Linked DNA regions of Tamandua tetradactyla. The protein of the gene in region 2 purifies or fractionates together with the protein of the main gene of each other region. This does not show direct contact. Links are inferred from orthologs where the notes say so. Each region holds a gene or a part of one and is shown on either strand. Other genes may lie near its edges.

What was found. The genes of interacting proteins can lie anywhere in the genome.
Region 1: the proteins of AP2M1 (region 2) and ITSN1 purify together in Homo sapiens (affinity purification with mass spectrometry; 3 studies listed by BioGRID and IntAct, counting the BioPlex papers as one, with this or other methods). This does not show direct contact. The link is inferred for Tamandua tetradactyla from reciprocal best matches to the Homo sapiens genes AP2M1 and ITSN1.
Region 3: the proteins of AP2M1 (region 2) and RALBP1 purify together in Homo sapiens (affinity purification with mass spectrometry; 3 studies listed by BioGRID and IntAct, counting the BioPlex papers as one, with this or other methods). This does not show direct contact. The link is inferred for Tamandua tetradactyla from reciprocal best matches to the Homo sapiens genes AP2M1 and RALBP1.

The regions. Positions count from the first base shown.
Region 1 is NC_135336.1:94,020,328-94,028,398, forward strand, and holds the start of ITSN1 (intersectin-1), read left to right. Parts: upstream 1-5,044; 5' UTR 5,045-5,433; intron 5,434-8,071. UniProt on the Homo sapiens protein: Adapter protein that provides a link between the endocytic membrane traffic and the actin assembly machinery. Acts as a guanine nucleotide exchange factor (GEF) for CDC42, and thereby stimulates actin nucleation mediated by WASL and the ARP2/3 complex.
Region 2 is NC_135336.1:2,441,906-2,449,223, reverse strand, and holds the start of AP2M1 (AP-2 complex subunit mu), read right to left. Parts: upstream 3,029-7,318; 5' UTR 2,915-3,028; intron 982-2,914; 5' UTR 939-981; coding exon 865-938; intron 1-864. Other genes in the region: DVL3 (segment polarity protein dishevelled homolog DVL-3), read right to left, coding at 6,705-7,141, 7,230-7,318.
Region 3 is NC_135344.1:73,019,237-73,026,489, reverse strand, and holds the start of RALBP1 (ralA-binding protein 1), read right to left. Parts: upstream 3,028-7,253; 5' UTR 2,966-3,027; intron 2,933-2,965; exon of another isoform or gene 2,879-2,932; intron 1-2,878. UniProt on the Homo sapiens protein: Multifunctional protein that functions as a downstream effector of RALA and RALB. As a GTPase-activating protein/GAP can inactivate CDC42 and RAC1 by stimulating their GTPase activity.

The sequences.
Region 1 (8,071 bases), about 92 Mb from region 2:
ATCAAGTATATCTTAGATTCAGGCATTAACACTTTCCTCTGTATTAAGTTATCAATCACAAAACCTATTTTTCCTTTATAATGTCCTGGCTCATCTGCTCATTTTCAGGGGCCACCCTTACCTCTGTGCCAGTCTGAATTTGTGCACCCCAGAAAAGCCATGTCCTTTAATTATCATTCAATATTGCTGGGCAGGAGCATTTTTATTGTTCCCATGGAGATGTGACTCACCCAATTGTGGATAACTTTTGACTAGATGGTTTCCATGGAGATGTGTCTCCATCCATTCAAGGTGAGGTTTTGTACTGGAGCCCTTTAACAGGGAACCATTTTGGAAAAAGCTACAGAGCCCATGCATCCAGAGACCTTTGTTTGTGAAGAAGAAAAATGCTCCCAGGGGAACTTCATGAAACAAGAAGTCAGGAGACAAAGCTAGCAGATGCTGCCATTTTCACCATATGCCTTTCCAACTGAGAGAGACACCCTGATGTCATAGGCCTTCTTGAACCAAGGTACTTTCCCTGGATGCCTTACATCAGACATTTTTACAGCTTTGCTTTAATTTGGACATTTTCATAGCATTAAAACTGTAAACATGCAACTTAATAAATTCCTACCCACCTCCACTCCCCCTTTTTTTAACCATTCCGTACCTAGTATATCGCATTCTGGCAACTTGCAAACTAGAACCACCTCCTAACAGTGATTTGCTGATTAACTCAATGCCTCAGGCTTGGGTTATAGCCACTGGCTGCTGCAAGGCCAATCAACATGTTACCCTATGGTCATCTTATTTTCTGAAGGTCCAAACTCTTTTTGTTTACATGAATATATTTCTATTATTGTCCAACATAAACTCTGCAATACTAAAGTTACTTTAAGTTCGGTGTTCAGCCACCCTCGTTTTTTATTTTAAGGAAATTAAAATGTCAAGCAAATAAGCTACAGAAAAACAAACGGAGTTAACTCCGAAATGTTACCCCATCCACTCAGGTCATCAGTTCAGGCTCTGGCCAGCTGCATCTCCAATGCTCTATTCCCCATCCCACCTTAGGACTGGTGAACAGCATGATACTCGTTAGAGTTTTAGGGTGAAATTTTCACTTATATTTTGATCACTTGGGAAGAGGTGACAATATTAAGTTTGAACAATGTTTTAATTAACCTGTGAGATTTTTCATATATATCCACAAATCAGAAAAAGATATCTGTCCAAATATTTGGTTAAAAAATATGGTCAGCATAATCAAAATCAACAAAGAGGAGGTTTGGTTCAAGTAACACTTTGCAGGCTGTAGAGAATGGTCACCCTAACTAGATATGCCAACTCTGTTACTTAAATCAAAGAGGGAGGGGAATAGTCTTAACTGCCGGAAAACTTCTGAGCCTGGTGTAGGAAACTTTTCTGTCTTTAGAAATCTGTAAACTCTAAGGAGACTGTACAAGCAGTGACCCAAGGTGATATTGTTTTGCTGCATACAATTGCACTGCTGTTACAAAATGGCACAGGGGACCCTGTCTCGCTTGTATCTAACTGAACTCTAGAGTGGTCTATTTCAGGAAGGACTTAAACAGAGCCTGGGTAAGCACTTATGGAGGCTTCTTAAAGGGGATTCAAGCATCAGTTGAGGGGGAGAGGGTGCTGAGAGGACCATTAAGGTCTCTTCTAATTATGGCAATCTAGGTTCTTATGAACATTAAGATATATTTGACTGAATGGATACACATGTGGCATAACCTATATTTTTATGCAACCTGATACAAAAATGGATGAAAGGGTGAAAAAGCAGAAAAGGAAAAATATTCTTTTTGATATGAGCTTTAGGCAGAAGGAAAACAGGCAACTGCTTAGAAAGGATGTCAAATTCTTTTTCTCTGTGCAATGGCGGTTCCCAGCATGTACTTAGTGGCCCCTTAAAAATAGCAGAAAATTCATGACTTTAATCCCTTCCCCACAATAACTGTTTTTACTTTTATTATCTGTTCATGTATAAAACACATTTTCACTTGGAATCTAGGATTTCTTACATGAGGCACTCTCCTGCCAGCAGCTCTGGGGATGCGGTGCAATCGGAGGTGGGTGGAGAGGTGGTGGGATGGTCCTTTTATCCAGTTTGTAATCATAAAATGGTCAGGTTACTAGTGTTCACTGTAGGGCCATTTAACATTTTATGATCCAGAACAACAGAAACTTAACTTTCTCTTACATTACATTACTCAGTACCATATATTCCCGTATGCTATCATTGGGGAATGACAGTAGGAGGGACAGTTTTCTCTTTCTGTTTTACTCATGTAACACAGGGACATTATAGGTGGAGTGTGGTGGTGTTGAGGGTGACAAGCAATTGAGGGATCCTTCCTATTTGTCACCAAACTTCTCTCCCTTCAGCTGCTAACATTACAGCAGACTGTATTATTTAATTTTCCAATTCACAATAAAATATTGCGGAAACAAATCTTGCTTCAGGTGCAAAATATGATTTACGTTCAGTTGAATATTCACAATAACTGCAAAATCAACAGAAAATAATTCCATAGAAGATGTATCATTTATTATAATGTATAAAAAATAGAAAATTATTTTGCAAAATACTGTAGTTTATTATGGGTGGATACATGTGTCTATTCTTGCTCCTCTACTCAAAAAACTCTTAGTTCAAGGGAGTACTGTTCACTGGGTCTAGAAAGAGCACAAATAACTTTTCTAATGTCTCTGAAAATAGTCTTCATGAAGATCACAGGCTAAGGACAAGAAATTTACTTTTTAACCAATTTTTAAAAGAACAGAGTTCAAAAATAAAATCACTGTGATTCCATTAAGAGCATTTTTAGAATTCCCAGGTTCAGCGGCCCCACCTCCTTCTTCAAGGCGATACACAAATTAATCAAGACTCATTCCTGGGCCAGGGGCCCAAGCAACTAACTTTGCTTTCAAATGCACAGCATGCAAAGTTGTGAAACTACCAAAATATTTCACTGCACCTGACAGGCAGCTTGATTTTGTAGGGGGGAGTCCACTCCACTGAAAATACAAACATCTGAATCCCTCCCATAATAAGCTAGAGCAATGAAGTAAGATTAGCAGCAAAAGGTAATAATTATATACTGCAGGGGTAGGTAGATAGGATGAAGAAATTATTAAATGACTGAAGTTTGAATCCTGGCTCCCCTACTAACTAGATTTGACCCTAGGCTACCTTCTTTTAATCTTGTTGGGCCCTAGTTTCCCCATGTATAAAAAGGAATAATAATAGTAGTTACCTCAGTGGGTTGCTGTGTGCATTACACAATACATGCAAGGCCCTCAGTACAATACCTGGCATAAAATAAGCATTCAATAAATGTTCGTTATTTCACTATTATTTCTGTAAATTGGGCAGAGAACCTCAAGGTAGTTCTGAACCCATCCATCTCATCAGCAAAGGGTTTGGTCAAGTGCAACCTGACCTTTTCAGTTGCTATTATATCATCTGCACCTCTGCTATCCAATCACAGTAGTCAATAGCCACACGTGGCTGGCTACTGAACACCTGAAATGTGTTCAACTGGAATTGAGACGTGCTGTTAAGTGTAAAAGATACACCGGATTTTTAAGACTTAGTAGGAAAGTAAATTAAAGCAAAACATCTCAATAAGTTTTAACATCGATTACGAGTTGAAATTGTATTTTGGGCATGTTGACTTAAATGAATAATATATTATTAAAATTTATTTCATGTGTTTCTTTATACTTTTTTTTTTAATGTGGCCACTAGAAAATTTAAAATTACCTAAGTGGCTCGCATTATATCTATCTGTACTGGACAAAACTGATGGAGAACCTAATGTGGAACGGCGGCCCCTGGGCGCTTGGTAGAAAAGCAGACTCTCGGATCCGCTCCCGACCTACAGAACCAGTACTTGTACCTTAACAAGGTCCTCCGGCGATTTTTAAGCATCAGCTGTTTACCTTAAAGAAGTGGGCAAGGGCGGCCTTTTAACCACATAAATGGAAATACGCTCTGGTAACTGTTTAGCGAATAAGAGAGCAAGCGGAGGGAGAGAAGCAGTAGGGGCGGGGGGGAAAAAAAAGAAAAGAAAAATTAAATGAACAAAAAAAATAGAGGGGAAACATCCAATCTGCGAGACAAATGGAACATCCAGGCCTCTGCGTCCAGAAGAGGGGAGGGAAATGCAAAGTGAAATAAAACCTGCAATTAGTAACCTGTGAAGGGCCAGGAAATTGCCCGTGAAATCAATCAAGCCCTACCCGCCCCTCTGCGGCCTTAGCTTATTAGCTAGGCCTGGACGTAAGCGGGTCTGAGGCTGGGCCGCGACGTGAATCACCGTCCTCCCGGAGCTGACGGTTCCGCGCTGCGCCTCTCGACCTTTTACCAAAACCCCGATTTCCAAGCCGACACAGAGCGTTTCCCGGGACTCACCTGCCTCTAAGCCGCCCCAACCGCCTGCGCCTTCGCCACAGCCACCTTCCAGGGCTTTCGCAGACAGGCCGCACCTTTGGACCAAGGCGCTGTTCCTATTGGCCACCTCGTTCGTCACTCCTACGGGGCTGAGCCGGACTCCCGAAGGCTGTCCAGAACGCCCTAGCAACCGAACTGGGAACTACAATTCCCGGTATGCTCAGCTCGTGAGTTGTGGTCGCCTCAACGAGTTCCATTTTATGCAAATTTAAATCGAAAGACCACACCCTTCCTCATTCCAATCGTATCTCCTAGAGCCTTCCTCAAATTGTGCCTTGCCTCCCTTTTGTCGCCATAATTTTCTCCCCTTTAAAGCCTTCTGTAATTAAGTTAGTTGGATACACCCTATCTAGTGTTTCGAACGGCAACGGACAGAAGCACAAAAATCTCCATAAATGTCGACAGTAAATGCCCGGACCAGAAGCCTCCAGTTACGCCTTCGTGGAGGGGGCGGGACGAAAGAGAATCCTACGCCCGCCCCATTTGAGAATGCTGATTGGTTTATTCGGCTGTCGCTCCTACCTTTTCCAGTTTCCCGGCTCCCCCACCTTTCGCTCCCGTGGCGGGCGGGGCTAGCGATAGGGAGCGTGAAGAGGGGAGGACCCCTTCTTATGATTGGTAGGCTAGATGTCCCCGCCCACCTATGGGCGGAGATGTGGGTGGGTAGATAGGTGGGGGGGTGAGGCCGACGGAGAAGAAGAGATAGGCGGGGGCGAGGGAGGGAGCGAAGGAGCGAAGGAGCAAAGGAGGGAGAGGAGCAGAGGAGCGAAGGGAGGAGGGATCGCAGCTTGGTTGCTCCGTAGTACGGCGGCTCGCTAGGGAGAATCCCGTGCGGGCTCCGGGACGCACGGATCGGCAGGCGGGCGGGCGGGGATGTTGTGCGGGGTTGTGGCTCCTGAGTCCATCCGCGCTGCGGGTGAGCTGCACTGATTTGTCCCCAGGGCGGCAGCGCGGACCCGCCTGGAGATGAGGTGAGGAGCGGGCTGGACTGCGGCGGCCTGGACCGCGGGAGGCGGCGGCGGGGGTCGGCGCGATGGCCGCCCGGGGCGCCCTACCCACGGCCGGCGCGCGTTCCTGCCGGCCACCCTTCGCCCTCTGCCGCGCGCTGGGGAGGTGCGGCGCCGGCCGTGCTCCGCCTAGTTCTTCCCGGTCCTCCCTGGGGCCGCGGCGGGGCGGCCGGCTGACCGGCGCCGGGGACCCGTGGGGGTGGCGGCCGCGGGACGGACTTCGCGGGGAGTGGGCGCCCTCAGCCCTGGCCGGCGAGCGACCTCCGTCCTTGAGGGGCGTCGGGGGCGGTGGGTCCTTCCAGGGCTGACCTCGCTGCCCTCGGCCGCCGGAGTGTGGCGGGTTGGCGGAGCCTCACCTCCCCGCCAGCCTCCCGGGGAAGCGGGACGCACGGGGAACGGTATCTTGCTGCCCGCCTCTCTCACCGCCTCTCCGGCCTCGCGCCGTCGGCTCATGCCTTCTCCTCCTGCCTCGTGCGCCTGCAGAATCCCTGTCATTGAAGGGCAGTCAATGCCGTTTGGCCCCAAGCCTCCCTGCCTGGGCTGACTGATGGTATTTAACCAAAATCAGCTCCCTTTCCAGTGCCACTTCGCCTTCCCTCCTTTACGCACAGACAGGGTCTTATGGTGTGACCTCTAAGGCACGACTGCGGTCTTTTCTTGCCTGAACTAAACGAGGAAATGTAATTAGAGTCCCCAGGAAAAGGAAACCAACGAGGAAGAGGCTGTACCTTCCTTCGCTCTGTCTTTGGATGAGAAGATAACTTCGTAGATTGCATTTCCTACGGGCATCTTTTGTCGTGATTCAGACGCTGAAGAAAGCTTTGCTTTTGAAGAAATAGATTAGCGGTTTCTGTAATTGAGTATGAGGCGGTGGAGATTTTTGATTGCCTCAAATATGAAAGTTTTCTTAAAAACTTTGCCGTCATCGGTGCTATTCTGAAAGCAGCATCCACCTGAAAATTTAAATGTATGCAGACTTGCGTTTCTTTGTGCCCATCTGTTGGCATCCTGCTCTTACTACTTTCGTGGTCAAAAAGTATTGATTTAAAAGCAAGTATAATAAAAGCTACAGATAATAAAAAACAAGTACAATAACAAACACATGCCATCTGGAAGATGTAGCAGGGAGGCAGTTTTACTAATCCGGTTGAACCTATGAAGAAACAGGCTCAGAGATCTTATTATGGGTTTTGTAGAGGACAGGGTCTGAGGGCTAGAAGTGGGCCAGGGTCCCAGCAGGTCAACTGCTTTGCGTGGTGCTACTCTTAACCCCTAAAATAATGGTAAATGTATTTGTTGGGTTTTTATTTTTAGATGACTTTAAAGTTGATAGTGCAGAAGCTTAAAGGCATCTCAAAATTATTCCATCTCTGAGAACAAATACTATGTTTAATTTTTTTTTTACTTGAAATATTTAGGTTGTTTCGATGGGTGATTGCTTATAAATAAAAACTTTTTTTTTTTAAGTATTGAAGAACTCTTTCTGCATGAAGGTTTGCAAAGAACCCAGGAATTTTAAAGTAATCTAAGTTAATAAATGAGGGACACTAATTTGGTGATGGCATTAAAATTATTTCAAATTCCTTTAAGTAGCTCCAGGAATGGGCATTTCTGATAGAAATTGCTAAGGCACGTGGTACCTTCACAAGACTCTATTATCATTCTGCCTGAGTAAGAGGAAATGAACACATTTTTAATGTACTTTGGAACCCTGTGGATTGTTCAGATACTAAGCATTGTGAAATAGGGCATAAAATGAGTACTAATAAGTTAGTTCCATGAAATGTTTGTCACTCAGCATTTTTTTTTTTTGCAGTTCACTAGGAATTTCCTTTTTCTTAATACTTATCTCTAATATTGGTAGATTTCTGCTAAGCTTACTGTTTCCCCAGATGCTTAGTTTGAGAAACTCAAATCTGTAAGAGATTAAGGAGGAGGTGCTGGTAAATTCCTCTACTCTTACCTGTCTTCTTAATTTACTAAATTTGTGAATTATAGAACATTATATTACTGAGGACAGCTCACATTCCACTATTGTAGAGCTTTCTTAAGCTTTTTGTTTCTTCTAAATGATCAATCCCTTCTTACTCACTTAACTGTTTGAATTTCTCAGTGTCTGGACCTCTCAGCTTACTTACCTCAGCGTTAACTCAGGTATGTGTTAAAACAAAACAGGTTTCTGTCCTGAGCTCAGAATCAGCCTACCTGGGAGTAGGGCCCTGGAATCAGTATTTTCAACAAGTTCTCCAGGAATTTTTCTTGTATGGTGAAGTTGGAGAGCTATTGGCGTTGCATCCCATCCTCACTGAACACCTCCTAAATTTTATTTGGTTTTTTAGGACACTTAGAACCATGTTCTGAAGTGTATAACGTGCCAGAATAAGTTATATACCTTAGGCTGCGAGTAGAAACCTTTTGACTGTGATTGCCATCTTGGTAGTGTTCCTGTAATACACCTTTCGGAAGGTCAGAGACTGTCTGGCTCACCAAGTATCTCTGCTTCCTAGCAGAGTGCCTGGAGTAACTCATTTAAATTCCTGTTGAGTAAAGAAAGGAGTGAAGGACGGACATCACAGTAAAACCAAGGTTTGCCACCTTTGCT
Region 2 (7,318 bases):
AGCTGGGAAACCAAGGAGCTAGGGGCTCTGTAACATATCCATTCTGTCACTGCTTATCCCGAGCTTTTTGAGGGAGGAAAACGGCAGGAGGAACCAGAAAAGCCTAGCTTCATTAGAGCTGCTGAGGCTAGGCTATGACCCCTCATTCAGAAAAGAACAGTGGTGAGTAGGTTGCGGCAGAATGAGAGGTGAGGCTCTGGTTCCTTGTTGTAGTCTCAGGGACTCATGACAAAGAACTGTTCTGGGTCTGCTTCATATAGGCCAGAAAGGGAGCAAGGCCTTCCTGTTTTTCCCTCAGTGACTGTGGTTTGCTTCAGGCTTGCTCAGGACCTCTCCTCTAGGAATGGCCTAGAGGAACTGAAAATGGCTGAATCAGCAGCCTGGCTACTTCTGAGAAAGGGGGGGTGGGGAGGATTTGGCAGCCTGGGGAGGTTTTTGAGAGAATCCAGTGAAGGCTCCCACCGTGAAATGTGAAAAGGGCTTTTGAGAACAAGACTTAGTTGGATTAGGACTTGCAGCCTGGCCACTAATTCCACTCAGAGGAGGAATCAACCTGCCTGGGAAAAAGCATTCATTTCCTCCAGCAACCAGGTCTGTCACTAAGAGAAACAAGGAAGCATGAAGGGTAGGAGTCCTAAGCCTGAGGCAGTTACACGATTCTACAAGTCTCACCTAGCAGCCTGCAAGCTGGGTGCCAGGCCAGCACACCTAATGGGAATCAACTTGTACTAGCTGAGCTTCCAGGATGCAGCAAGGGGCGAGGGTGGTACAAGTCAAGCCTCTGCTAGGAATAAACCTAGTCTTGCATGCTGAGGAGAGGGGCAGGGGTAGTAGGGGCATAGATGGCTCAGCCAGAGGACTCACCCGATGTCATCTCGGTAGACCCGGGAGATGAGCACCTCCCCCTTGTGATTATAGATGAATAACCCTCCAATCATGGCGGCAGCTCAGTCTCCACAGTCCATTGCTCTTAGAACAGGCCTAGGACAGGAAGGGACAGGGTAAAGGAAGGTCTAAGAACCCCTGCAACATTCCCTGTAGGGTGGTGCAGGTCACTGGTGGGGCTTTTTTCCTGACTCAATCCTTGAGCAAGTGATCCTGCAGCCCTTCCAGGCATGCCCCTCCCTTCAGCCAGGCTCCAGTTCCTGTTTATTCCACACTGGAAGGACGAAAAAGACTGCGAGGGACTTGGGCCTAGGATCTAGGCCATTTTGACCCTCCTTTTTCTGGGGCTGAGCCCAGACGGTGGCCCCCTCCCCCTCTTCACATCACTGAGCTCAGAGAGGCTCCTTTTTGGCCCCCTCCTGTGCAGATTCTCATTCAGGCTCCAGTTAGTGAGTCACTGCGGCTGGAGGAATGGCGGTAGGAATTACTCCAGCTGGTTCAGGCATGGGGCCCCCAGGCACAGCCTTAGGAGCTCTCAGGATCTACTACCCTTCTAAGAAGGCAGCAGGGCCAGAACTGCCAGCTCTCTAATTCCACAGGCTTACACATTCCAGGAAAGGGTGTGCAGGGTGAGGGAGGAAGAGAGAAGGGAGGCTTCAGGCCCTGACATGGACCTAAGTGTGTGGCCCCAACTTCTCCCAGGCAGTCAGATAAGCAGGCAAAAGAGCCCCCGCCCTGACAGACAGACTATACTTCAGTGACCCAAGCTTTGCTTACCACAGTTATTTTCAAAATGAGAGGTTCCCTCTTAAATCCAGGGGATGGGTTGGAGGTTGATTTTCCCATCTGAATTTCTGTTATTCAGACCCACCAATTAACTCACTTCTAGTCTGAGTGCCCATAAGAAAGGGGCAAGGATGTCAGATATTCTTGAATTACCCAAATTATTTGGGTCAAACTAATTTAGACAGTTTGAGAGGAGAAAAAGAGTTAATTTGGTTCTAGATTTCCTAGGTTAGCCCTGGTATTAATTTCATAGGGGAGAGTTTAGCAGGCTTTTCTAAACTGGAAAGTAGACTTTTACTGTGGCCATCAAGGTCTACCAGACTAGTGAGAAGTCTCTCAGGGTGGTGGACACATCCCAGCCCGCAGTCCCAAAGAAGCTGGAAAAGGAAATGCAAAATGGAGGGAGAGTCCTCGGCAAAGAACGAAGTTCACAGGTATCAAGTGGTAGGTAGCTCCAGGGCACCAGAGCAGCAGAGTTGGGGCCCAGGACAGGAATGGAATATTTAGCCAAGGGAGAAGACCAGCAGCCACAGCCAGGCGGCATACTCAGGTGAACCCATACAGCGGGAAGTAGAGCTACGAAGGCGCCTAGAGGAAAGAGTTTCTAGTCTGGAAAAGGTGGGGCTGAGGAGGAAAACCCGGTATGGACAGATTGACAACAGTGAATAAAAGAAAGCTGGGGAGACGGAGTCTGCTCTGCGGTTTGGGTGCAGAGGCGTAAGAGGGTAGTGGGCTTTCCGCCCAGTGGACAGGGACCGCCGCGGGAAAAGATGGTGCAGCGGGGTGCGGGCTGTGTCAGAGGACTGAGACCCTGGGAGGAGGGGGGTGCCGGGGCTGGGAGACTTGTCACAGTTCACGGAGGTGGATCGGGGGGTGTCACTGTCCTAGGAGATGGGAGAAACGTCCTTGCGCCGAGAGGAGGAGGCGCCGAGGGGTAGAAGGTTTGTCACGATCTTGGGGAGGGGGGAGCCGCGCGGTGTCCTTGCTCTGGGAAGATTCTAGTGCTTTTCCCTCTCCCACGAAGCGCCAGGCAGGTCAGGTGGACGCTCCCTGACCATCCCGCAACCGCGCCCGGGGCGCCCGAGTCTCGCCGTCAGCTCCCTCCCGGATCCGAGGGCTGAGGCCACTCCTGGGTGTGGGCAGCTTTCCGCGTAGCGCCGTGCAGGCAAGGGCAAAGCTGGGCGGCTGGATAGGCGACCCGCGGCGCTTTTCTCCACCCCTCAAAGCCAGATCCCGCTCTCACCTGGTGTCTGCGGCCCCCCGCTCGGCCGGCCGGGCCACTCCAGCGATCCCAAGATGTCCGCCCGCCCCCTGCTCGCCAGCCCGCTGCCTCGGCTTTCACCGCAGTGCCGCGGCCCCGCCCCGACCTCTGCTGCGCGTGCGCGTTCGTCCTCTGCCAAGACTACAAGTCCCGTCAGACCCCTCGGCCTTCTCGCTTAAGTTGTGAGAGGTCTAAGTTTAGGAAAACTACAACTACCGACAGCCTTCGGGAACGCGCCCCGCCCTTTGGGCGTAGCCTTTATTCCATCCCGTCCGAAATACACATCCCCGCGTACGCCGCCCCGCCCACCCTATTTTCCCCACTAGGCATTCTGGGAATTGTAGTCTCTGCTTTTACCCCTGTTTTGGAGCGGCTTAGAGGATTAATGCCGCTTGATTGAAGCCCATCTGTTAAGCACTCTATTGTAGGCCTTTTCAGTCTCCGGAGTCCGAGGATTGGCAGTCCTTACTTTACACACAAACATACGATTTGGCTGTAAAGAGTGGGTGCTGAAGTTTACCGCTTTCTAATAGGCAATCGAATCTGATTTCCTAAGCTTTTTCATCATATATTTGGTCCAATAACGTACCTTTTTCCAGGAATCAAGACCCGCAAGGAGAGTGGGGGCAAATACTTGGAAGAAACAAGCTGAGCTTTTCATGGATAAGTCTATGTTCTATCTCAGCTATGTCTATATGATTGAGCTCCTCAAGGCCAGGACCTGTATGCCTTCTAGTTACAGAAATATATATTGCTCAGAGATATGGTGAGTTGACTTCAACTGGGCATGGGATTTGAAATCCTCTCTTTGATGGACAGTTAATCTTCACATCCAAGCTGAGAGGAGACAAAGCCAATCCTCAAACAGGAAATGCCTGCCTGGCCTTTGCAGGACCTGACTGAAATCTGCTGGCTCTTCTTCATCTGACAGAGATGGCATCCTGCCTTCCCTGGGCAGGGCTGAGCCTGTCCTGGGAGGAAGGAAGGGCAAGAAAAGAAACCTGGTCGCAAACCCTACCATCCCTAGCATCCTCCTGCCGGAAGCTAGAATGTGGCAGGATGATCTGGCCTCCCTCAAACCATAATCACAGCCTGATATCACTAAATAAGTGAATACAGGCACTTCTGAAGCTTGAACCAGCACTCAAGGCTTCTGTCCCACCTTTCCAAAAGCTTTATCTTCCACACATATCTCTTAAACTCCTGCCAACTCAGTCAATAATAGTAACAATAACAACAGTAATAATAATAGCTACCATTTATTGAGCACCTACTCTACTACGTGCCTGGCACTGTGCTAGGCACTTTTCGTACAATATCTAATTTAAATCCTCACAACAACCCTGTGAGGTAGGTATTATTATCGTCATTTTACATATGAGGGAACTGAGGCTCAGAAAGATTAAATGATTCTCCTAGAAGGGGATGACTGAAAAGTAGTAGAGCTGGTATTCAAACCCAGAATGATCTGACTCCAAATCCCATACTCAGTGCACTAAAGTAGAGGCAGAGGGGAGAGGAAGGGCCAAATTCAATAGAGATTGCTGGAATAGAGTGGATATGATATGCTGACTGGTAAAATATGGGATGAAGGAATTATAGCCCATAAATGTTCTAGTTTATGAGCTTTTGTAGATGTGGTAAAGATAACCAGGATAGAATTCAAGAACATACTTGGTGGGGAAGATGATGACTTGAGTCCACATGGATATGTCCATAGAGTCCAGTGGATAATAAGAATACAGATCTAAAGTTTAGTGGGGAAGTTGGGGCTGGACAGATATGGGAACCACCAGCATATCAGTGGCAATTGAGGACAGGACAATCAATGACCATTTTGGGAATAAGTAGAAAGGAAAGAGAAATAGACCAAAGAAGGAACTTGGGGAGGGGGGGCACCGATACTAAAGACCTGTGTAGTAGTGGAGGAATTCTCAAGAGAGTTGAACAAGGCAGAGTCAGAAAGGGAAGAGAAGTACAGGAGACAGCCCTGTAGTGTGGCTAGAGGAAGCCATAGCCCTGGATAGGAGCAAACCCAGAGCTCCCAGAGGGCAGGGAAGACTGAGCACACTTCCAGCACAGCCCTCTGTTCACCAAAACTCTAGGAAGTATTTGTTCAATGAATGAATGCCAAAACGCTCCTACCTTGGTTTGCCCCAAAGCCTGGCACGAAGGACTTCACCTCACTCTTAACATTCCGACCTAGGTGAGTGTAGGTGAGCCAGGAGATTTTATGGCAGAGACTTAAAAAGAAGTTATGATTTGTTTAAAGGAGAGACTAAAGTAATACAAGAAAACTTGGCACTGTCTAGAAGTCCCAAAAGTTCCCCTGTCCAACTTCAACTGTCTCATGTGTTCCTGTGTCCTTGCTCTGGGGTCATGGTTAATGTGGAAACAAGGAAGCGTGTGTGTATGGTGGGGGCAGAGTGGTAGTGGTGACAATGGCCTTTGTCGGTTGCTTGGGGAGTCCTCTGCTGAGCCCACTTAGAGCCAGCTTATGGGCCTTATCCAGGTAGGACGATGAGAGGATGAGTGTGGGAAGCTTTACAACTATGATGAGGGGAGAGGGAAGTCAGGGAACCGGCCCCACAACCTGGGAAAGAACTGGAAAAGAGGGGTTCAGTCCTCTGAGCAGGGACCAGCCCTGAGATTAAGCAAACTTGTATAGCCACCTTGTGCGGTGTGTGTGTGTGAAAGAAAAAGAGAAGTAGAGAGAATGAGAGAGAGAGAACATTCACTTTGGAAAGGTGATTGGTGAGAGGCTGGGGCCCTCCCAAAGAAGCCTAGTGACTCAATAGGCTGAAAGTGTGGGTGTGGGGGCTGGACATCCTTGGGGAGCCCTGAGGGGCTGTTGAAGTAGGGCTCCTGGTCTCCTCGGAGGCCCTCGCTGTCGACTCACAGAAAGTCAAACAGCCCGAAATTCTTGGCTGCTCCAGGCCCAGGAAAAATTGGGGAAGGAAAAAACAAAGAAAAGAAATATTTCAGGCCCAGAGGTGAGACGAGCCTGTTTGTTAGTAATGTTAGGAGTCTGAAGGAGCCAGCACGCAGGCCAGGCACGGCGGGGAGTGGAGGGAAATTGAGAAGAGATGCTCGCTGGAATGTAATAGCAGCTCAAGCAACTGAGGGACCCTCTGGGCTTCTGGTCAGGGCTGAGCACAGGCAGGGACAGCATGGGTGGTTACTGGAGGTGACTATAGCTCTAGAGTGCAGGGCTGAGGCAGCAGGCAGGGAAAAGTTAGGGGCAGCAGATGAAGTGAAAAAAATTTTTTTGTGTGTGGTAGTTGGGTGGCAGCATTCTGGGGCAAAGTCAAGAGATTTGCACACATGCTTGAGAAGGTGGGTTAACAGGGAGCTGGTGTAGCTGAATGAACGGTGAAAAGGACCTGAGGGGGAAAAGGAAAGAATGGGGTGGGGTGAGCAGGGATCCCGGGACTCTGCTGGGGTCAGCTCCTAAAGTGTGTGTGGAGGGTAAGGTGTGAACAGCAGCAACAGCATGTCTAATCACCTGCAGGCCAGAGAAATGAAGTATCTTGGGAAGTCCGGTCTAGAGGTTAGTGGGTAGGGGGCAGAAGCCCGGCCAAAGGCAGGTTAGGGGCTGCAGAGCCAATTGGTGGGTATACTCTACCCTCCCAGCACCCCATAAGCAGTTAGGGTGTCTGGATTTAGTTCCGTTTATTTCCCTTTCAGGTACCAAAGTAAAAAAGATGGACGGATGGAGAGAGGGACGCAGCTGGCAGGGTGGGAAAGGCTGGCAGTGGGTGAGGGGCCCTGCTCACATCACATCCACAAAGAACTCACTGGGGTTTCCCATGGCCATGCGGAAGGACTGTCTGCTGGCGGTCAGTTCTGGGGGCACTGAGGCCAGGTCACGGCCCGGGGGGGCCCCTGGGGGCCCCAGGGCTGCGGGCGGTGGGGGCATCATCAGCATTGGGGGGCCGTAGAGTGGGGGCACACCAGGAGGCCCATAGCTTGGGTGCGTGTGGTGGCTGCGGAGGCTGCTGGCCAGCGAGTGGTGGCTGCGGTGGCTGTGCTCACTGGCTGCCGGGCCCGAGCGCTCGCTAGGAGCCCGCTCCCGCGGTCCCCGCAGGCTGCTGCGTGTTGTGTGGTCTGACTCGCTGCCACTGCCGCCTGACTTCGAGTCCCCAGCCTTTGGGTCCTTCTCTTTCCGCCGGTCGCTGCCACTGCGGTTGGAGCCGCTGCTCCGGCTGCCTGCAGGGGCCGGGTAGGGATGCTGAAATCCTGTAGAGCGAGCTGGGAGCCCGTCTGCAGCTCCCTTCCACACCCCCCTCTGCCTTACCTTCACTGTGCTGGCTGCTGGCACTGCCCCCGCCATAGCTGTATCCCAGCTCTGGGAAGCCAGGGTGGGGGTTGTAAGGGTGGGGAGGT
Region 3 (7,253 bases), on a different chromosome or scaffold from region 2:
CTCTCAGTCGGTACACAGTATTACCTAATTCAAAGACTTCATCTAACAGCATATTTAAGCTGATGACCCTCATAGCCAGAACGTTCTCTCCCACTTTAAATTCATACTCAGCAGATGTTTACACATGGATGCTTCACTCAATATATACAAAAGCTAAAATATTGCTTCTCCTCAAATTTGCCCCTTTTCCTAAATTCCCTTACTCACTAGATTGCATCACTGTCTAATCAATCACCAAAATTAAAATCCAAGTCATCTTATCTTACTATTTCTCCTTCACTCCCCAAATCTAATTGCCACCAAGTCCTATGGATTCTACCTACTGAATATTTCTATTAACCTAATCCTCTGTAATCCTACTGACACTGCCTTAGTTTAGATCCTTCTATCACCTCATTCACTGCAGAAACCTCCTAAGCAGTTTTTCTGCATCCAACCTCACTTTCCCTCCATTCTTTCTGAAAAGTATACTCCTTAATACCAGTATGATCACTCTCAAATGAAAACCTTACAATGTTTCTTTACTGATTAAAATTCCTATACTCTATCATTACCTACAGGAAAAAAAATGTCTAAAATTCTTAAATGGCATGTGGTGCTTTTGAGGATCTATCTGTATAGCCTCATCTTCTGCTACTCAACACCACAAATCCAATTCTACTACAGAAAACAACTTTTCATTCTCATAAATGTGTTATGTTCTCTCTCTCCCTCTTGTCTTTGTTCAACTTTCTCTTTGCCTGAAGTCCCTTTCCCTCCCTTTTCTGCCTTAGTCATGTCTAAATTTTCTTTAACTTTAATGGCATAAACTGTAAAGCATCTAATTTTTAACACATAGGAGGGGGTTAAAAATAGGTTCAACTGGCTTAGGTCTCGCTTCTTTGTCGTGTCTCAATGGCTCCCATTTGCCTACAAAATAAAGTTGAAATTACTTTGATGACATATGAGACATAAATCCATAATTTGGTCTCTGCCTACCCCACCCCCAATTTCATGTCTAGGTTGCCATACTTTTGGTCACACTATTCCTTTTAAATGCCCATCCTTTCTATATCTGTATATATATTTTTACTTACCACCCCCCTCTTCTTCAATTCCTCCTTCACTTCCCTTGAGAAACTGATAGCTATCTCCTTTGTACACACATCATACCCACAAACTTTTTTTTCTAATCAAAGTATTCATAAAAATGTATTGTACTGAAACAAAAAAATAAAAGTAACAACAACGACAAAAAACGAAAACAAAAAGATAAAACAAAAAAAGTATTGTGCTTGTTGACAGTTCAAGTAAGGGATACAGTCTCACCATCCTGAAGGCAGGGATACTGCCTTATTCATCTTTAAGTCTTCTTTACCTGGCATGGCACCTGCTGCACGATAATTCCTCTACCCTAAATAATCTGCATTTTTCCTTGTCCTCTCTTACATAATCTAATGGAAGCTTCTATTAGAGATTTTCTTTCAAAATAGAAGATACTTTCAGGTTACATTCTGGGCCTAAATCTCACCTTGAGATAAAGGGTACAAATTAAAGTTAATATGCATTTTCTAATAATATTTTTAATCTTTCTACATTAAGGGAGAAAAGGTCCCTGTAAGATCAATAATGAAAAATAATATTTTGAAGAGCTAGCAAGTTAGGTATAATGTAGTTTTGTTTTTAAGATACTTTGTTTAAAGAATTGCTTGTCAATAGTTACTCAAATTAGTCTGCCAGACTTGGCAGCTATGGGTCAGACAGAAAAGCAGGAACCACTCTCCCGACTTCTTTCCTACCCCATCTACTGCTGACACAGCTTACATTAATTACTCATTTTGAGGAAGATACTCAGAAAACATCAATGCACTAAGATAATTCTAAACGTAGATGTGATCTTACCTTTCTCATTACAGTCCCATTTATTCATTTAGAAATGCTGCCTCCATGGGCTCCAAACCAAAAGTGGCCCTATTCCTTGGCACCACTTAATTTGTGAATATCTGCCCCACTATATTGGAGTGCAGCCCAACGTACTGCAACATTAGAATACGTCCACTCCACCAACCAAAAGTGTCAGTGAAAGTGTTTCTAATCCTGCCGGAAGGTGTAACTCATTGTTCAAACGAGTGTACTTTTCTTACATGCACGTTCAAAACACTTCGAATTAAAAATTTAATCACATTCAAGAACTCGAGTAGGCCGTAGAGGAAACACGCTGCTTGCTCAAGAGGGCGACTCTGTAGTAAGGAATCCCAAAACTTGAAACAGCACACTTACTTCAGGTAAAGCTGAGGCTGGAATAGTTTGTAAAGCCTGGTTCATTCTCAAGGCCACGATAAACTTAAAAAAATTTTAAATTAATAATTTTTAAAAAGCTGACCTCATTGCAGAGCATTTGGGCACATGCACACTTGAGAACGGGTCGTGAGAAGCATTCTCAACTCCAAATCTGTCGGTCCGTTCCCACTGAAACCTGAACTAAGGGCTGTCGTGCCCGAAGGAGCCCGGGGCTCCACCACCCGCCGGGGCACAAATCAAGCGCCTATCTCCAGTCCCCTGAGCAAGCGCTGGACGAGGGTCAACATTCCGGGTAAGAACTAGGAGATAATAACAATGATGAAAAGGGTCCGAGTCCCCTCTCCTCCGCTCAGCGTGCTCCCGAAGGGCTCTCCTACCGCGCGGGAAAGCAAGGCGGAGGCCCCCCACACCCAGAGAGCACCCCACCGCACGTGCGGATGCCACCAGGGGAGGCCTGCCGGCCAGTGGACGGGACAGACAGCAAGGGGGGACAGCACCCCGGCCCGGGAGGAACCCTCACGGGGCAGCCACGCCCCCCAGCCCCCAACTCCAACCCCGACAAGCGGTCAGCACCAGCCCCGCCCGCCGCCTGACAGACCCCGGGGCGAGGCCGGGGCCGCAGGATCCCTGGGTACGCGAGGGGCTCTGCGGCGACCACGGCACGCCACCACTCCACACGACTGACCTGTGCGCGCCGCCGCGCGACCGCCGCCCCAGCCGCCGTCGCCACCTCGCGCTCACGCTGCCGTCGCCGCCGCCGTCACCGCCCCCCGCGCCGCGCCCCTGGCCGGCCTCAGGAACCCCATCCCCACCCCGCCCAGCCGCCGCCTGTTTACAATGACTGGGATGGAACGGGACGAGCCGGCCCCGCACGCAGGCGCACTCCCTCCCCGCGCCGCTTCCGGGTGTCCTGCTGCTGCAGGCTGACGGCTAAGGCCGTCGAGGGCCCCTCGCGCGGGGCACGCTGGGAGGCGCAGTCCGCGGAAACCCGACGTTCGGGCCGCGGGAGGACGCCGTGCGGAGGGTGTGCACTACGATACCCAGGAAGCATCGCGCGCCCTGCGGCCCCGGGCGCGCTGTGGTCACCGAGAGCGCGAGTGTGCGCGACGCGCTGGTCCTGCGCCGGCGCCTGCGCAGTGCGCGGCCTTGGGAACTGGGTGGGCTGCCTGCCCGGAAAAGGAGTGAACGGCGGTGGTTTGGGGGCTGTTCCCGTGGTGGTCCCTCCGCGTCCTGAGCCGCCTGTCCTCGGCTTTCGAAGTCCAGCCCTTGCTTATTGCCAGCGGGCTTCAGTGGTGCTAACCGGTTAAACCAGCCTCGGAGGCCGGCCCAGCCTGCCGCAGGGTGGGGCGAAATCCTGGCCTTCAGCTGGGCGGGGGACCGTTCATTTCGGTGGGAACTCTTTTGCTTGGGGGTTTTGGGAAGAGGAAGCGACGTGGACTTGTGGGGGGAGACTTGTAAAAACTGTCGGGATCGTCTGCAAAATTCCTTGGTCCCTGTGGGGCAGCGGACAGCTGCCTGCCCGCCACCCATCCCTTTGGCGCCACGTTTACGAAACACCTGGATAAGAACTGCCCAGCTGCATATTTAAGGCACCGGTAGAACTGGAAATAGTTGGGTTTCCTCCAGAACCGAGGGCGTAGAAAAGTCCTTTGTAAAGGACTTGAAGAATTGTTCTAATGTACATTGAGGGCTGGAAAGCAGGGTCTTATCACTTGTTCTTGCTTTATGAAAGTAGGCAGTTTTTTAGGGAAGAAGTGGGGTTTGGGACAGATAGATGGTCGTACCCAGTCGCTTCCTTTACTACCTGCATTGCTCTCTTTAAAACTTCATTATATATTTGGATTGGCAGGCCACAATCAGCCGACACTATCCCTCCCAGATCAGTTTTTCTCAAATCTAAGTACAGATTTATCTTCTGTACTCTGCATGTCCTACCCAGTAAAGTTCAGCGCCCCCCTCAGTCTTACACGCAAGAGCTTCCCACAATTGGATGCTGAGGTGGTCTGTGGTAGCCACTGTTTTTTCAGACTGCCCCAAAAAAGTTCTCATCACTGCTTCTGGAAACAACAGTTTCCTCTGACCACTGGGGTAGGGATGTAATCATTCATATCACTAGACCCTGTGCTCTGGCAACGCTGATTGGGCCAAGGAACAGGCACTGACCCAAGCTAGGTCCATGCCAGAAGTTGCTGAAAGGACGCAAAGAAGGGAGAAAAAAGGTTTCTGCTGAGGTCACTGCTGATGATTATATTCCATGCAATATCTGTTTGCAGTAAGAATGAACGTGGCCAATTGAGATTGCAAAGAACAAAGAAAGGAGAAATGGAGGAGAGAAAGCAATTCGTAGCATGTATGCAGTTGGTTGGGGCTCAGAGCCGGTATTTCCTGCAACTCGTCTCTATGTGCTATGAGTCTATGAGTCTAATGACTCAATATATTCATTCATGTACTCATTATTATTAAGGGCTAATGTGTGTGATTATAGAAGATATTTGTTAGTTTCCTCCCAAATATTTGTTCCTCCCATTTAAGCCATGCAGCATATCCATTCTCTGTGACAATTATGATAGTTTCAGAGAGATATGTATAGCCCAGTCAGAGTCAATGAATCCCACAGAAACTTGTGTTGGGGCCTCTAGGAAAGTGCAGCTTTCTTATGTTCTGATGTTGTTAGTTTGCAAGTTGCCGGAATACAACATGCCTGAAATGGAATGGCTTTTTAGAGGGGGAATTTAATAAATTACAAGTTTACAGTTCTGAGGCCATGAAAATGTCCAAATTTAGGTGCCTACAAGAGGTTACCTTCACTCAAGAAAGGCTGATGAAGTTTGGGGGTTCTCTGTCAGCTGGAAGGGCACATAACGATGTCTATCTTTCTCTCCCGGCTTCTGGCTTCGTGGAGTTCCCCAGGGGCTTTTTCCTTCCTTATCTCCAAAGGTTTCTGGCTGCGTGGACTCTTTTGGTTCTGGTTGCTCCAAAGTTTTTTCCAAAATGATTCCGTCTTAAAGGGCTCCAGTAAGCAACCCCACCTTGAATGGATGGAGACACATCTCCATGGAAACCATCTAATTAAAAGTTACTACCCACAATGGGATGGGTCATGTCTTCATGGAAAAAGTCAAAAAGGTCCCACCCAGCAATATTGAATGAGAATTAAAGTACATCGCTTTTCTGGGGTACACAACCGATTCAAATCAGCACAGGTATGGTCTACGAATATGAGAACTGAAAAATGTGGTAACATTTTGCACCTGTAAAGAGAGAGCCTGGAGGCATGGGGTTTAAAAGGGAAGGTGTTGGTTGAGCTTGAGGATGACACGAATACTGTCAAATAAGTACCAGAAAGATGGAACAGAACCTTGCTCTTGGTGACACCATTAGAGCTACACAATCAAACCTCACCTGAAGCAAGACTTGTGCCTATAGACTGTTCAGTATTGTGAGCCATACAATTCCCATATTGGTTAAGCCAGTTTGTGTTGGGTTTTCTGTGACTCAAAGTTCTGAAAGTCTTACCTCATTCAAATTAGATTTCTTTTACATGAAACTGAAAGGCCCCTTAAGAATAAATTATAAAAGGGATTTTGTCTATGACTGTGTGACATGACTGGCAATTCCTTTGAACCTAAAACGAGTATGAAACTAGACAAAATTGTCCAAAACAGCAATTTCAGGGCACCAGAAATCAACCGAACAAATTGAAGTATCTTTTCTTGGAAACCTGCTAGAACTTCCAAAAAAAACAGGAAATCTGCGACCTTCTTGCTTGAGGCTATTCTAATCCAGTCCTATTGCCCCCGTTCCATTGAACCAGAATTCTAGTTTTACCATGGTGGACCAGGCTAGCAAAAAGATTAGCAGCTTTGCTGCAAGAGGGGATGGACTACATTTGTTGTGGGAAGTCAAAATTCACAGTATTACAGTAAAATTTGCATGCTCGGGTGAAAATAAACGTGGAAAACCCACAATTTTGCTAACTACAAGTGGGGCAAATGACAAAGCAACCAGAAACATCTTCCAACAGGAAGATATCGGTAATAGACTCATCTGAGGGCTAAAATAAGTTCTTTAAATGCCCCTGGCTGGCTGGGAAACTATTCACATGCATGGAGGTGAGTGAAGGGACCCATTGAAAGCTGAAAGCCAAGGGAAACTTGAGAACTGGTGGCAACTTTGATTGCATCTCTTAATCCACCCAAAGATCTACTGGCAGAGGGAGGAAGATTTACAAACCCACGATGTTTGAGTAAAACTTTTGCCCAAATCATTATCTGACCACTCAGCTATGCAGATGCAGAATTAAATCAGAATTAAAAAACAGCAGACACATCAGAAACAGGACAAGGATGCCCACTGTCACCACTGCTATTCAGTGTGGTACTAGAAGTTCTAGCCAGAGCAATTAGAAATAATAAAAGGCACCCAAATTGGAAAGGAAGAAGTAAAACTTTCCCTATTTGCAGATGATATGATCCTCTATATAGAAAATCCTGAAGAATCCACACAAAGCTACTAGAGCTAATAAGCAAATTCAGCGAAGTGGCAGGGCACAAGATCAACATGCAAAAATCAGTAGTGTTTCAAAACACTAGGTAATGAACAATTTGAAGAGGAAATTGAGAAAAATTTTCCATTTACAATAGCAACTGAAAAAACTAGTATCTGGGAATAAATTTAACTAAAGACTTGTATGTGGGAAGATACAAAATACTGCTGAAAGAAATTAAAGAAGACCCAAATGAATGGAGGGGCATTCTGAGTTCAGGATCAGAAGACTAAATATTAAGATGGCAATTCTTCCCAAAGCAATCGACAGATTAAATGCAATACCAATCATAAATTCCGACAATCTTGGAATGAGACACTTCAGATGTCTGTCTCTTCACAGAAGCTTTGCACAACGAGCAAGAACTGGCAGAAACATCTTCTCAAAGTTTCAGAAAACAGTTAAAAGAATGCAATTACAGGGCAGG